Oreochromis niloticus: one gene and its partner. The protein of the gene in region 2 interacts with the protein of the main gene of each other region in a biochemical or structural test. Links are inferred from orthologs where the notes say so. Each region holds a gene or a part of one and is shown on either strand. Other genes may lie near its edges.

Evidence for each region. The genes of interacting proteins can lie anywhere in the genome.
Region 1: the proteins of khdrbs1a (region 2) and nck1b form a complex in vitro, tested with the Homo sapiens proteins (3 studies listed by BioGRID, with this or other methods). The link is inferred for Oreochromis niloticus from reciprocal best matches to the Homo sapiens genes KHDRBS1 and NCK1.

Annotation. Positions count from the first base shown.
Region 1 is NC_031974.2:17,862,362-17,870,252, forward strand, and holds the start of nck1b (cytoplasmic protein NCK1), read right to left. Parts: upstream 3,014-7,891; 5' UTR 2,741-3,013; intron 1-2,740. Other genes in the region: slc35g2b (solute carrier family 35 member G2b), read right to left, coding at 5,370-6,620. UniProt on the Homo sapiens protein: Adapter protein which associates with tyrosine-phosphorylated growth factor receptors, such as KDR and PDGFRB, or their cellular substrates. Maintains low levels of EIF2S1 phosphorylation by promoting its dephosphorylation by PP1.
Region 2 is NC_031983.2:8,562,942-8,570,792, reverse strand, and holds the start of khdrbs1a (KH domain-containing, RNA-binding, signal transduction-associated protein 1a), read right to left. Parts: upstream 3,002-7,851; 5' UTR 2,840-3,001; coding exon 2,674-2,839; intron 2,224-2,673; coding exon 2,096-2,223; intron 1,931-2,095; coding exon 1,814-1,930; intron 1,728-1,813; coding exon 1,581-1,727; intron 1,466-1,580; coding exon 1,341-1,465; intron 1,059-1,340; coding exon 791-1,058; intron 700-790; coding exon 623-699; intron 520-622; coding exon 455-519; intron 340-454; coding exon 230-339; 3' UTR 1-229. Other genes in the region: zbtb8os (protein archease), read right to left, coding at 6,032-6,118, 6,238-6,274, 6,666-6,718. UniProt on the Homo sapiens protein: Recruited and tyrosine phosphorylated by several receptor systems, for example the T-cell, leptin and insulin receptors. Once phosphorylated, functions as an adapter protein in signal transduction cascades by binding to SH2 and SH3 domain-containing proteins.

The sequences.
Region 1 (7,891 bases), on a different chromosome or scaffold from region 2:
TGAAAAAATCTGAGCTATATGAAGGTCTAACTGTTTTTTGCATAACATGTTCAAAAAGAAAATGACAAGAAAAACAGGGGGTGTAGAAATCACCCATGAACCATCATTTTCTTGCTCTTTCTGAGAGTACTGTAGCAGACTGATGCAGGTCTGTGGACAGGACTTACTATTGGTTTAACAAATTCACAGAAATTGCCAAACGCTTGTGCCTGAAAAGCCTGCTTTCATCATTAAAGACACGCACAGTTCTTTCATTATGACAGTATTGCTTTTTTTTGTAATTCAGTGCTACACAACTGCTGTCACAACAATGAGTCGTAGTTGCATGAGTACACACATCCTCATTATCACTTTGCCAAACCCACTGAAAGAAAACCCTGAACCATAATGGACCAAGAGAAAAAACACTGAAACTGCACACTTCTCCTACTCGACACGAGGAAGTCAAATCATTTACTCCCCAAAAAAGAAAAAAAAATAGAAAAAAAAAAACAAAACAGCAAATACAGCCGGGACAGTACACTTTTACAAAAGTTGGAAAACTTAGTCCAAACAAGAAACAATAACTGGGCACTTCCTTACGACTTTGCTTTAGTAGTTAAGCTGAAATTTCTCCTTTTTCCCCCCTTTTTTTGGTTTCAGTGTTTTGCTCATTACTCGCCTTTTTTGCCCTTTGCCAGGGCACACCAAGCAGAAGCTGTTGCTCCGTCATGTTCTGTCACAGTTAATGTATACAGAAAACGTCTGTTATTTACTCTTCAAACATCTGCATGCATGAGCAGTCGGGCACAAAAAAAAAGAAAAAAAAGAAAGAGGAAATGGAAGAGAATGTATGCAATAACAGAGATTAGGGCGATAACATGCAAAGAGGCAATTGCGGAAAAAAGAAAAAAAAATTCCCCATTTCTCAACTTCATAAGAAGCCCAAAAAAAAAAAAAAAACCAAAAAAAAAAAAAAAAAAAAACAGAAAGAAAGAAAAGTGACTTTATAAACTAGCTTCTGAGCTCTGAGGGAAATTTTAGCCATTGAGAAAAGCGCAGTTGGTATTTTACCCTGGGCTGCGAGGACAGATTTGGCTGCTGGAGGCCACTGGTAGCCGGACACTCGGAAAAGAGGAAAGGGCATAGCCAAACAAAAAAAGGATAACGCCTTCATACACATAAGATTATTCTGTCATAAAATCCAAACAAGAGCACCATTATAGTGTGGGATGTATGACTATTACAGGAGTACACAAGGAGTATATCTGAGTGAAGGAACAGTCCTCACTTCTGCACAGAAGCTCATGACATGGCAGCTGACAGGTGCAAATTTTTAAAATAGTTTGCCTAATTGCAGTTTCCATGTGTTAAGATGAAAATCAAATGCAAGCCTTCAAGTACGAAATGCTGATAAGAATGGCATCACCATTTCTTCCTGCAAGCTGTGGATGCCCTCTCTGTGACTCCAACTGAGAAGAAAGCAACAGCAGAGCAAATGCCTCTCTCTTCCTCCTCCGCCTCCTCTCACCTCCTTGAAAACTAACTTGTGACAATAATTACAGAGTAATTCTTAACCAGTCGCTAGTATTTGGTTGCAGAGACGTGCAGGCTACTCCCATAAATCGCTCAGATATAATTAACCACAAATCATCAAATAAATACCTGCAATACAAAAACCTCAAGCTGGAATAATCTGTTGAGTGTTGCACCAAATTTTGTAAAAGGCCACACAAACAAAAGCCGCAAGGGCTCGCCAGGAGTTATACAGACGAACTGCCCCATTGTGCTTCTAAGAATGACATTTAGTCTAGCTTGGGTTGTGTAAGGTAGAAACAATGTTACGAGATAAACAAAGTGTGCAATTACCCAAAATCTTGCCCAAAACAAGATCTAAGCGATCCAACTAGGTATATGTAAGCTCAAATGCGTTTTGCACGTATTATACAGGTAGATATTTATCCACAAATTGAGTTTAGATAAAAACAGAAAAAAATAATTCATTGTTGTATGTTCTCCAAGGTGGAGATTTCTCCTGCATTTTAAATCTCTAGGACAGAATACCTTTAGGTTGCGCACTACTGGTCCAAATAAAGGGATACCAAGCCAACTGGGTATCACTGGGTGAACATTGAAGTGATGGACCGGCTATGACTAATTATGGCTACTTGAAGCAAAACCCAATACTAGTGAACCACATCGTGACCACGACCAAGCGAGTTCAACTCAGTACGCAATTGAAAACTTAATCCTAAGATATAATAAGAAAAAAATAAAGCTGCATTTAAGTATAAACTGTAAAGTGGATCAAACGGTTTAATATCACTGTGGCTTCATTTAATTGTCATTCTTACAAATAGAAGTGTTTACGTGGTGCCCGCTTGAACGAAAAGAAGTATAAAGATGATAAAGAAGTGTAGCAGTTTTGGTGGAGTTTTTACCTTATAACCTGAGCTTGACAGCGTGTCACGCTAAAACGGCTAACATTAACCTGGCTAAGAAAATTCTCCCATATGCTTTTAGTGGTTACAGCCAGACTAACCGTCTGCCAGCTGGGTAACAGTATGCTGACCATGCTGGCAAGGACACTAGGTGTTTTTGTCTCTCTCTCCTTTTCTTTTTCAGTCTAGGTTAACGTTTAGCTGTTAGCTTGCGTGAGCTTTAACGCTGGAGAACCGTTATTGCAGCAGTCTGTATCACAGAGCTTCACCATCAGCGGCAGCTCAGATTCATACCCTGCTCTAGTCATACCACGTCTTACCTGATTCCTGACGGCCACCTCTTCTTATGTCCTTTTGGAAATATGTTAAAGGGTTACACACAGCAGCTGAAGATGCACGGAAACGGCATCCAGAATCCTAGCTAAACAGCCAGGGTTTTTTTTCCCCTTTTTTTTCCCCACTCCAAGAAGCTAGCCTAGCTGACGAGACGCCGTGCCCCGTTGGAATAGCATTTCTGCATCAGTGCATGTCATCGCTCAGCAGCACGGCTAAGCTAACTAGCCGCAGCTACACAAGCAGTTCAGACGCTCTCTGGGTCCCGCCTGCTGCCACGCGATTGGCTGAGGGAGAATCTGGACTCTGTGATTGGACAATGACACTGTCCGTTAATCCCACTGCAGCTGCTGGTGCTTTGCTTTCCCCTAAGCATTCGTCATGTTTTTCTTCTCTGTGAGGGTAAAGAATCGATCAAATCTCTACCATTGATAGACTTGTGTATGAAAAGAGAGATGGAATGTGAGTCTGACTATTGCATCACGTATTGTTTAATGTTTTGGTATCCAAAAGAAAGATAAGTAGTGAGAGGGACTTTAGCACAAGACCCAAACTATAATTTAGGCTAGTAAAAATTGATGTTCTGTAGTATACTTGCTAAAATAAAATACATTTTAAAAAAAATAACCAGGTGATACTATTTAGTGCAAGCTTGCCCTTCAGCAAGCATTACGTTAAGTGCTGCCTACGTGTTTTTAGTATATGACAACTGTAGTTATCTCGGGATTAATAAGCATTTCAAAGAAGTGCCCAGTCATCACCAACCGTGCAATACACAAAAACGAATCTACATAAAGTAACTCGTCATCCAATCCCATTCGGGCTCCACATGTGAAATGATGATACATCTATTAAACGTGTCTGTGGTGAAGAGACTTGCAGAGTAATTTGGAAGGCTGTGCAACTCGCTGCAGGATGCAATCTGTTTCCTGCTCAAACAGATGGGCCTGCCCTACATGTATTCTGTGATCTGCACCCAAAACAAGACTATAATACTGCATGTATAGTGGATTATAAACCCCACCTAATACTTCTCTTCACTTTTTAATATAAATTAGACTAATTAAAATAAAATATGGCATGGTGGAATGTGTTTTGAGTCACTTTCTTATTAGCTTGAGAAAGATTTTGTCCACATTTTCGCTGCAAATGGATCTAGCTTGTTGTTTTAGTCATTTTGTATTTATTCAATAGTAGTAGATTGTCATTACACAGACGGATTTGATTTACTGCTTATATTGTTGCTGTAAAAAGGGTATAATACTTGTACCATGACATTTATCACCTATTTGTGTGCAAAAAAGTTAATTAATCAATAGATTGTCATCAGCTGTGTACAGTTTCAGATCAATTTGCTCCATCAATATGCTTTCATTTCTACTGCATACGCAAAACATTAGCTTCCTGGCTTTCTGAAGTAAAATAATTTCCTAGCTCTAGCAGTCTAAGAAATGAAGCGGATCCTGAATGCCACCTGCTGGGCTATCAGTGAATCATGCGTTTGTGTCAGCTGTGAGCAAGCATCATCCCCTCTTTTCATCCACTCTGCATCCTCATTTTGTCCTTATTTCATTCCATCGCTGATGCTTTGCCTTGGGGAAACGTAGAGTTCAAGTTCGCTTGGTTTTTCTCAACAGAGAAAGGAGACGTCACTGGTGAGACACTGAATCACCCACTACAGAAAAAGCAGATGGTCTCACGCTGTCAAAAGGCGACTCTAATTCAATACAGTGCACCTGCCTCTGGGCATTAGTTTGATATGCATCTGACAGTAAACAGAAGCAGAATCCAGGGTTATAATCGCCAGTGTTAAATATCAACTAGGCGATGGGGCCAGAGCATACGTGATAGGGAACAGGAACAACAAAACAACAGTTTGTGCACAAAATATAAGGAATTATAGACAAGATCTTTTATTTTTCAAAGTCACATTTGATCTCCAGTAAATTTGGAGTCTGTTTGTGATGTTCAATTTAGATTTAATAAGAACAATCTCACATAATGCCACAGCCTGCAGCCTATCACATAAAGGACATTATATTGTACTTTGTAGCTTTGCTGGCTCATCTGTAATTGTTTCTTTGAAGAAATGATACTGTCTTGGAAAGCAACAGCTTAGGAGCCACACAAATAAATAGCAGTTGTTTTTTTGTTTTTGTTTTTTATAAAAGGTTGGGCTGTTTTTAAAGTTCTTATTTTATTCCTTTTATGTAGCGTGACCCATCTCTGGGCTGACATTTACAGAGATACATCTTTGCTGATTTTACATTGACATTCACAAGACCAGATCCCACGTGGTCAATTTGATTTCAAATCTTTGAGCGTGGTAAAGCACACAAATCAAACAGATCATTTTCATGCCCAACATTTTGGCCAGTCACACAACTGATTAGACATTAAAGCAATACTACTGGGGCAAAGTGGTCACCATGTTATATCTGCCTTTTTTTTTTTTATTATTTCCCACACAAATATTAAGACACCATTTTTTTTATTAGTTACACAACTGGCACTCATTTGACAACACAACAATACAAAATCATCAGATGACGACCCAGACATTCTTTGAATTGTACAACCAAGCAACATTGTAAACAATTAGACTGACATCTAAATTCATTTGATGGGTGAGTCCAGGATCTCTTGGTAATCCTGCCGAATGGCTCTGCTCACCCTGTACAGCTTGACTCCCGTCAGAGTAAACACACTAATCATGATGACTAGGCCCCCGATGACGTCATAGACAGAGGGGATCATCCTCAGAACGATGAGCTGGAGAAACATGGCAACCACAATCTCCAGATGCTGCACAGTGCTCACTAAGGCTGGATGAAACTTATTTAGAGCATAGTAGACTCCGAGAAATGCCACAGTGGAGCAGATACAAATCCCAATTAAATAGCCCCAGGTCTCCGCATCCAGAGGAATGATGGGCTCCTGCATGATAAACATGGTGGAGGCACCCCAAACTGTGCCCGTCCAGCCGAAGGTAAAGAGTGCGGTCCACATGCTGACCCGCTCCTTAATGGCCCTGTAGACGATCATGGAGAGGGCAGCAGTCATGCCGGCCATCACTGTCATTGTGTAGCCAAAGGCCTCCTTCCAAAACCCCAGCCTGGACTTCTCCTCATCTGCTACATTTGGTACCATAACCAGGCACAAGCCAAACACGCTTCCTACCACTGTGACCACATCGGTATAGCCCAGCCTCTCATCCAGCAGCAGGAAGGCTAGAATTGCACTGAAGACTGTGGTGGAGGCACGCCACATGATAGTGCCATTGCTAGGTGGTACTATGGCAAAGGATGTGTAAGCGCAGGTGATTGAGATTACGTTGCAGACACCGTAAAAGAAGAGACGCAGTCGATAGCCCTTGGGGCCAAAGGGGGCTTCGTGGTAGTAGAAGACCACCAGGATGGACAGCACTTGGATCACGGAGCGGATGAATAGTAGCTCAAGAGAAGGAACTTTAGAACGGTCAGCTGCTAAACGAGTAATCAATGCCACACAGCCATGAGCCACTGCTGCCCCAAACAATGCCATCCAGGTTACCCTGGAGGCCAACACATTCGCCTCGCCAAAGCTGGCCAGCTGCCCCTCAACACCCTTGTCTCTTTGCACACTTGGCTGCTTAGGTTGGGTTTCCATGGTTCCAAAGAAAGTCCTGCCACCTTTGCTATCTGACACCAGTCTCTTCCCCACACTGGCTTCAGCGAAGGCGCCAAAGTCCTCAAAAGAGGGTGCATCATCATAGCCCTCATCTCCAGGCTGAGGGAAGTGAGTGGCATATTTCACCGTCACTGTGTTGGGGTGAATCTTGACCCGCTTTTTTGATCCGTACTGAAGCGAAGATGAAGATATATCCATGTTGTATGGGCGTCAAATGGGGCAATCTGAAAAATGAAGTGAAATCCATTACAGTGTAACAGCAACCAAAGTGCAGTCAAGTATCTGGACTTAGTTTAGAGGTTTACATAATTTATCTCTCAGTATCCAAACCCCCGCACTCACACGCATCCAAAATACACATGTGCTGACACAAAAAAAATCTCTCACATTACCTCATCCCTGTTACCTTTTACCCTTCCAAGATTTACATTCGTGTTATTGCCTCTGTGTATATAGGCTGTGTATATCCCGTGTGAGCTCATATAAGCCAAGCAGCAAACATTGTGAGGCTGATGCAGTCTGATGGGGATGAAATTACATAACAGGGATCCACCAGGGGATGATATATGAATGTGGGCCACTTATGAGCTGAATGGAACTGCACACCATAAATAAGCAAATCCTGTAGCTATGTAGGAGTGTGTGAAAGGGTTAAATGGAGGGGAAGAGTTTGAACCATTTCTATTTTGTTTTATACAGCACAAGGATTTAGCTTCAATAGCCAGTTACTGATTATTAATATTAATTATAAAATATCATTTTCCAAGTGTAAAGCCTATATATATATATACGATGAGTATAAAGTAGTGCCTCTGATGTTTTGTTTTTTTTAACTCTAAAATTTATTGTTACTGCAGCATTCATTTGGGCAATACACCGCACATCACAACCACAAGGGGGCAGATAGGTACTCTTGTTTGCCGTCTCTCCTCCTCCTCTTGCTCCTCCTTTTTGAAATATAGATGAATATAACTTCATTACTGATAATTAACACAAGTCACACGTATATAAGGTAAAAAGGCTTAAAAAGCCTAAAGCATAAACAATGCTTTCTAACACCTACAGGACATTCATTACTTAACATTATATTTTTAGCCGGCCAAACCAATTAAAGCGATTTATTTTCCACCGATGTACGAAACAATTTGATAAGAACGTGTTTTCAAACCGATAATTATTTGGTAGACTATCTTAAATGCCACATTTTTTCATGTCATTCAATCTCGTTGAAATCTAGTTAAATGTATATTTTGATACCTGAATTTTGACAAGCTCCTATGTGAGCCATTACAGCGCCAACTTAGTGTAGAGAGAGAAAAACATATTATCGGTGAACGCCTTACCTTTTTGTTCCTTAAATAGTTCCTACTGTTGCACGGATCCGGGTTTTTGTCATAAAAGAAGATTTTGTCGAATTTCTTGGTCCTTACATTCGCTCATCTGCAACTGCCATTTCTCCATCTTCCGTC
Region 2 (7,851 bases):
GCAACTGAAACAGATAAACAATGGGGAGAAAAAAAAAATCTTTCATGTTGCTCCTCTGGCACTAGGATACATCCAACAAAATGTCCTAAGTTAACAAAAAAGAAAAAAGAAGAAAAATGTTTTAAATAAAACCATAAAAAAAGGAAACGAGAGGGAAATTACTTTTGTAAAGTTAAGCGTGAGTTACAATCACAGACAGTTGCCACTGCAACTCTCTACCAGTAGTTGTTCAGTATCTTGGGTAAGGATGCTCTCTGTACGATCCCTTTGTCTGCCTAGGTGGAGGGGCTTTGCCTCCAGCCCCGGCACTGGACCACGAGTTGTCCCAATCATCTTGAGCTACAAGAAGTCACAGAAACAACAAAAAAAAAGAAAAAAAAAGGTGCAAACACATAAGCTAAAAGTCTGAAAGCAATGAAGCAAAAATAACGAGACATCAGATTTAAAGACTTACCATAACCAGACTCATATGATGGATCCTGAGCTTCACCGTGTCCATAATCGTAATACTCTGTATCCCTGAGGGGACATCATCAACAAGGGTTAAGACAGTATACTCCCAATTAAAAACAAAACAAAAAACATTAAAAGAGTCATGTTACATAAATTAAACTTGACTTACGCAGGTGCAGAAGGCTGGCTATAATAACTATCATATCCCTCATATGCCGGCTCTGCATAAGAGTCATCATATGCAGGCTAGATAGAAAGAAAGAAAAGAGGCAACATCATGAATCTGTACCATTCCCATTCATGCCAAAAATGCTGTCAAATAGGATTCAGGACGTACATAATCATCATAAGCATCAGGCTTTGACCCTGTTGCTGAAGGTGGAACCTGGTGTTGCTGGTGAGACAAGGCTGCCGAGGGGAGCATCCTGGGAGCTCCTGCTGCAGGCGGTCTGGAGCGAGGAGCAGAGCCTCCTCTAGTAGGAGCAGAAGGAGGTCCACCCCGACCAGACGGAGCGCCTCTTGGTGCGCCACCTCGCCCCGGTGCTCCGCGTGGAGCCCCACCGCGCATCGCTCCTCGAGGAGCCCCACGTGGCATTCCTCGGCCCCTGTGGAGGGTTAAATCAATACCATTAACCTACTTTGCCAAACCAGATGCAAAAAACAGACTCCATGTTAGTGTTCCTGCAGCTTTCAACTGAAAACTAACATACATTTTAGTTTGCTGACAAACATTTGTAATTTTAAGTTTGTGTGAATCTGTCAAGACTCTAGTTGCACATCTGCAGCAAGCACATACACTCAACCCGTTAAGGCATTCTTTTCAGGCAAATGTGTTACCAGACACAACATGTATTGTAGTACACTATGTCGCAGATTCCATCGCATACCTTGGTCCTCCAGCACCAGGTGGTCCACCTCTGCCCCTTCCTAGAGGACCACCTCGCCCCCTCGAACCATCCTGGGATCCATTCAGGAACAGAGGATCCATGTATGGATCGTGCTCACCAGGTTCCTGTTCATGTGGCAACAGTCAAACATGCATACCATTATTGCAGAGCATTGAGGAATCAGTGGATATCTGTTAGAAAGTTTGATTCTTGTATCAAGAGGTGTCTCCGCACACATACCGGGATAAGGAACTTCTTCACCTCCTCCATGGCGTGAGCCATGCGGAGGTACGCTTCTGGTATGGGTGCCGTCACCTCGATGAACACATGCAGCTCCATGGCGAGGTGAGCATATTTAGCTTCACCCCCCTTTCTAAATTCTTCCTCCTAAAAACAATGAACGCACAAAACTCTATAGCCAGAGTAGTGATGCAGGGCAATGAGACAGAAGCAAAGGAAACAGCTACACAAACCTTGTTCTTGTCCCTCATGGAACCTTTACCCAGAACTGAAATCTTTGCTCCGGTGTCCTCTTGTAGCCTCTTGATCGTGCTACCCTGAGGTCCCAAAAGCTTTCCCACAAAGTTGACCTGCAACAAATTCATAATTCACGTGAGCACCTCAGAGAAAGCTCTCTTAGGTGAAAAAACCCTAATTAAGTAGAGTGTGAGAAATCAGTACAATTGCTAATCTGTTAGATCAGCTGATTGAATCACCTAGGTGGTTAAGGCTCTATGTAAATGGAAAAGACATACCCTAGGGTACTGCTTGGTGGGAATGAGGACACGCTCCTTGAGCTTCAGATTCTTGGTTGCAAACAGGTCCAGGTAGGTTTCCTTCTCAGGCTCTTTCTTAGTTTCACCTTTCTGGATCCTCTCAATCTCTGCAGGAATTAAACACGATTAAAAAGCTGGTATTCATGAACAAATGCATTTCAAATAATAGACGAAAGCTTTCGGTTTGTTTTTTTTCGGGGGGGTTTTGTTAGATGATATGGGATATGATCCCCTGCATCATCCGAAGAATAAACGGCAGGTTAAGCTTTGGTTGTAGTTAGCAAAGCGCCGCCTCGAAATCGCAGCAGTTCGTCGTTAAATATCGGTGTTAGCTGATGACTAAACAAGACTAAAATCGCATGAGATCCAGTGATTCAATTGCACAGCTTCAAATACACACTGGACAACGACCCGACCCACATCGCTATCAACCACGTGCTTAATGCGCCATTGTTCAGGCCTCTGACTCGGCTAAGGGGCAAGAAACAAAAAACAGGCCCCGACTCGCGCTAACTAGCCCGTGTTAGCCTTTACGTTAAAGCAAATAGCGAGATTACCTGCAGATATGAGTTTCATTGCATGCGTGAACGATGAATCCAGGCTGTCCTTTTCAGCCAGGAGCTCCGGGAGGTACTTAGTGTCTTCCATTTTGATCTTATTCTCTGCTGGGCTTGACTCTACGGCAGGCTCTGTGTTGCTCTTATTAGCATTCGCTTGGCTCATAACGCGCGAACGAAGCCCCGCTCAGTTCGTTAAGCTTCTCCCCCTTAAAACGAAAATGCAACAACAAGGAAGACGGTGTAGTTAGCAAAGGGCCCACCGGCGTCTTCTCCACTGCAAGTCGTTGCACTCTTCCTCAGCAGACAAAGGAGGGATGGCGCAGCTGCATTTCAGTGAGGGGGAGGAGGGAACCCGGAAGAAGACAGTGACGTCACTGTCATACGCTCCAGAGCCCTGATTACCTGCTGTTACAGCACTGTGCCAAAGTCAGAGCAAACCTTGTTTTATGTCTGCTTTTTCATCCATTTCAGGGGATTTCTTTTAAGGTACTTTACCCAAACTTATGATCCATTCATTGTAATTTTATCTTTAGGCTCTTTCTTAATAGCAGCCTGTTGCAAAAACACATAATTTGTCGCCATTTCTTTAATTGATTGTATGGAAAATTCCAAAGAAACCAGGGTTGACAGGGATAAAACAAGGAGCTATTACCGCAAAATCATCTCAGCACGGTGTGGAGCGTGCTCCACTTTCCTCAAAAACCTTGAGGAAAATAGAGGACAAAAAAAAAGGTAGTAGGCCTAAACAGCCATCTACAGCAGATGAATGGTATATGAAAGCAATGTCCTTAAGAAACAGCGGGAGGAATATAGCATAGACCTGACACAGGACCTGAGAGATGCATTTATCCCTTCAGGTGATCCATCTATAGTTCAGAGAAGCCTCAAAGCCTGGTCTCAGTGGAAGAGTGGCCATAAGAAGCCATTTCCAAGGAAGGGAAACATGGAGAAAAGGGCTGAGGTATGCCAAATTACATGAGAACTGCACAGTGGTAGAATGTTTTACTGAGTGACCATCATCAATATTTGCAGAGGAGGTCAGAAAGCATAACTACAGTGAGTGTCTATAGTCATCTGAATGCCTACAGTCATCTCTTTGTGGCTACATTGTAGCCAGTGGTTTTGCTGATGTTGGCAAAATAGTTGGAACTATGAACACAGAAAAGTATAGTCAAAATTTGATCCACCATGCAGTAATATCTGAAAAACTGACTGTGAACGGTTTCATTTTTCAGCGTGAAAATGATCGCAAACACACTGGCAATGCAGTAAAAGCATAGAAAAAAAAAAACATTACCAGTCATGGACTGGCCTCCCCAGAGCCCAGACCTCAACATTAATGAAACAGCATCGGATGATCTTATCAGAGAACAGAACAAAAAAAAAAGCCACCCAACAACCAAAGAGCTTTGAATGTCCTTCAAGAAGCAGGAAATTGTAGCCTGATGAAATCAACCAGCACATGACACAAATGATCTTTGGGTTCTTTAATCTGAGTTTTAAAATTAGTATTCAGATAAAAATAAAGAAACTTGAATAATAAATTAGTTCAGACAGTTCTCACAAGCAGACAGCAAACAGCACTACACACCATTTACCCACATCTACAATAGTCTGGATTATGATATAATTTATTGTAAAATGTCACAACAAAGTTTTGAAATTCAATACATACAAACTGTGTAGTGCATCGCTCCAGAACATGATCAAAACAGACCACACAGTTTTTCAAAGGCCAGCTCCATTTACAAACAATGCTCAAACAATATCCCACAATTCTGAAATGAATGAGCTTGTACTTCCTGAAAACATCTCTGCATATAAACCTCAAACCATATATCTGAAACTATTTCATGTTATTTCCAAGAACAAGTCTTTAATGCAAGTTAAATTAATTGCAGTATGACACTAAACTGTAAACCCAAAAGTCAAAGCTGCTCAAAAATAAAACGAAATAAATAAAAATATCTGTTTATTTACTCATTCACTTACTTGAGTTGATGAACTTGAATATTTGTAAATTTATCTGTCATAGGAATGATTTTACACAGTTTACTTTTTTAGTGTTCCTTTCACTCTGTTTTTCTTTTTCTCTTTAAAAAAAAAAATAAAATTCTCATTTATTCTTCCACATAATACATCACCAAATTTAATGTTCTTTCTCAGTTATCTGAAGCACTACAGTATACAACATCCCGTTTTAACACTATATTCTGTTTTATTCTGTTTTACCTGGTATGTGTATTTAGTCAATGACCAAAACATTTCTCTTATACATAGAATACTGCTGCCTGTACTTTCAGTTATTCATACAGGCAGCTTCCTGGTATTATACCGCTTTGTCTGAGATATCTATTGAAAACAAGCTTTGGATGTTTCTTAGAAAAGCTTTGTTCAGTTACTCTCTGGAAATAAGACACAAGCCCAGACATGAATATCCTGCTGTCTAATGCAGGGAAGTGTTTTGTAGAATACACTCATCTTACATTTGATGTTTCACTGCGCAGCCTTTGCTTTGATCATTCTGGTCAGGTCCTATTTCATTCTTCTGACAGCCTCTCAGCTAAAAAGTCCAGCCAGGATTAGTAGATGTGGCTTAATAGGAAGTTTAATGTGATAAGTCAAGCACTACAAATCTCCTAATGCATTTTCAAATACCAGTGATTTTAAAATAGATGTGTAAAAATGGAGTTGAGTTTGCATAATGAACAGCTTAAAATCAGTAATTGTGTTATGATGTACACTCATGTACATTTAATGCAGCTCATATTTGTATCAACAGGTTTAAACAGTTCAAAAGTGTACATTTCAAATCTTTTGCTGTGTTGAACTCAAAATAAGTTGTGCACATTTTTTCCAATTCAGTATTCTTTGCTGAAATATGGTGATAAATGATGACCTTTTTTCACCTCTGTCCTATTGAATCACAACACCTCCATAAAATACTTAAACTGAGATTTTTAAGTTGAAAAACAGGTGACTCAATTCTGTGTCAAAGGTAAACATTTGCTTATTTATTTACAATGACATATAATGCATCAACACACCTTCAAAATGATCACAAATAAGAGTAACAATCTCCTAAAATGAAAATTTGAGCTTAAATTTGGTAATTTTGACTTCAGGTACACAGTTGAAATTCAGTGTATTCCCTCCGAATAATTGATATCTCCACAAGTCTTATTTAAATGTAAGGCTAATTTTAAAATTCTTTTTTAAATTTAAATAAAGAGTTTATCTTACATGCCCCAAAAAAGACTGTACTAGCCAAAAAATCAGTGCATTGAATTAAAAGGCCACTTAAACTTCCCACTTTTATTGAACCAGTGAGTGTGAGCTTCTTCTCAAAGTCATATCAAATATCAATGATGGCAAATATTTCTGGTTTTTCTTTATCATGGATTTGCATTGCTGAATATGTGATGGCTTTCACCTCAGTTCCCTAGAAGGACAACAAATGACATCTAAGTTACTGCAGTTGCGTTGTAGTTTTGTAGAGTTAATTATTCATTTTATGTATTTCTTCTAATGAGTGTCATTTTACTTCTTTCTCTGGCTTACCTGTGGGTGCTTTTCCAGAGAAAATTCTTCACCCCACCTTTCATAAACCAAAGAAAAATAGAGCAAAGAAAGTAGCAGTAAAGAGAAAAATACAGAGAGACAGTAAAACTGAATTTTCTATCTCTGATAAACTATTTTTTCCCCAAACCCAACCCGTTTAAACCCAGTGATCTTTTTGTATATTGGAAAAATATGGAACATTTTAAAATTACAAACAGACACCAAAGGACTTTGAACTTTTTTGCACGTCCTTTTCATGATAATCTGAGATAGTTCAACAAAATGAATGAGATAAAGTTTGACCTTTGCCTTAAAAACAAATTACAAAGTTGGTCCACATTAGCTCAGGTTTGAATTGTATGTAATAATTTTTTAAAATAATTATTAAGACACAACTTCAGTGTTATTGAGGAGGACCCCAAACTTACCCAATGGAGCGAATCTTGAAACGCATTCTGTCAATATGTAAAACTTTGATCTCCTGATGGAAAGATATGACACAATTGTTAGCACATCATAAATGTAGCAACTTCATAACTGGAACATAAATAAGGAACAGCAGGCAAAGTTACTTGCAGCCTATAATATTTAGAGACTGATTATATTTTTAAAAAAAAGATAATATTACCAGTTGTTTTGGGTAAGTTCACCACCACACTGGATTTAAAACTAAATAATACAAGATCTGATTTAAGTGCAGATTTTCAGCTTTAATGTTAAGGAATTTTAAGTACAACATTAGGAATTACAGATATTTTTATACACAGTCTTCCATTGTCAGAGGCTCAAATGTAATTGGATAAACTAAAACAAAATTAAATTGCTGCTTGTTTGTAGCATGCTCAATCGGTTACTGATGTGGCCACTGAAGAATATCCCATTTCTTTTTCCTTAAAGACCTCTCCATTTGCACTGTGAAGCGCAGAATCTGACTGAGTCTGAGCAGAGTGTACGGCCCTGTACACTCAGAATTCATCCTGCTGCTTCTATCAGCAGCCACACCACCAGTACTAACAAGAGGCCCAGTTGAACTGGCAGTCCTACATGCTCATGCCATAACATTGCCTCAACTATGTTTGACAGATGATGTGGCATCTGTGTGATCATGAGCTGTTTCAGTCTGTCTCCTTACTTTTGTAGGCAGGCTCTTTGTTTTTTGTTTTTTAATGTTCTAATCTGATGTCTTTGTTGCTGAGTGTAACCAGTGGTTTCCCCTTTGCTGTAAATCCTCTGTTTCCATTCATGAACTTGTCTTTTGATTGCAGACCTTGACAACGGCACGCTTACCTCCTCGACAGTGTTCTTGAATTGTCTGTGTGTTGTGAAGTGGTTTTTCTTAACAGTAAAGATTTCCTCAATCATCAACTTTAGTTGTCTTCTGTGGTCTTTCAAGGCTTTTGATGTTGCTGAGTTGGCCAGATGATTCATTCATTATTTTACAGAATGCACCACATTGTTGATTTGACCACTTACTAAAGTTTTTTTCCATTTCCTTTTTAGGTTTTTTTTTATTTTATTTTTTTTCCAGACTACGATGGCTTCCTTCACATGCATCGACCACTCTTTGGACCTCACATTGAGAGCTCCGGTAAAAAGCTATAAAATGCAAAAATA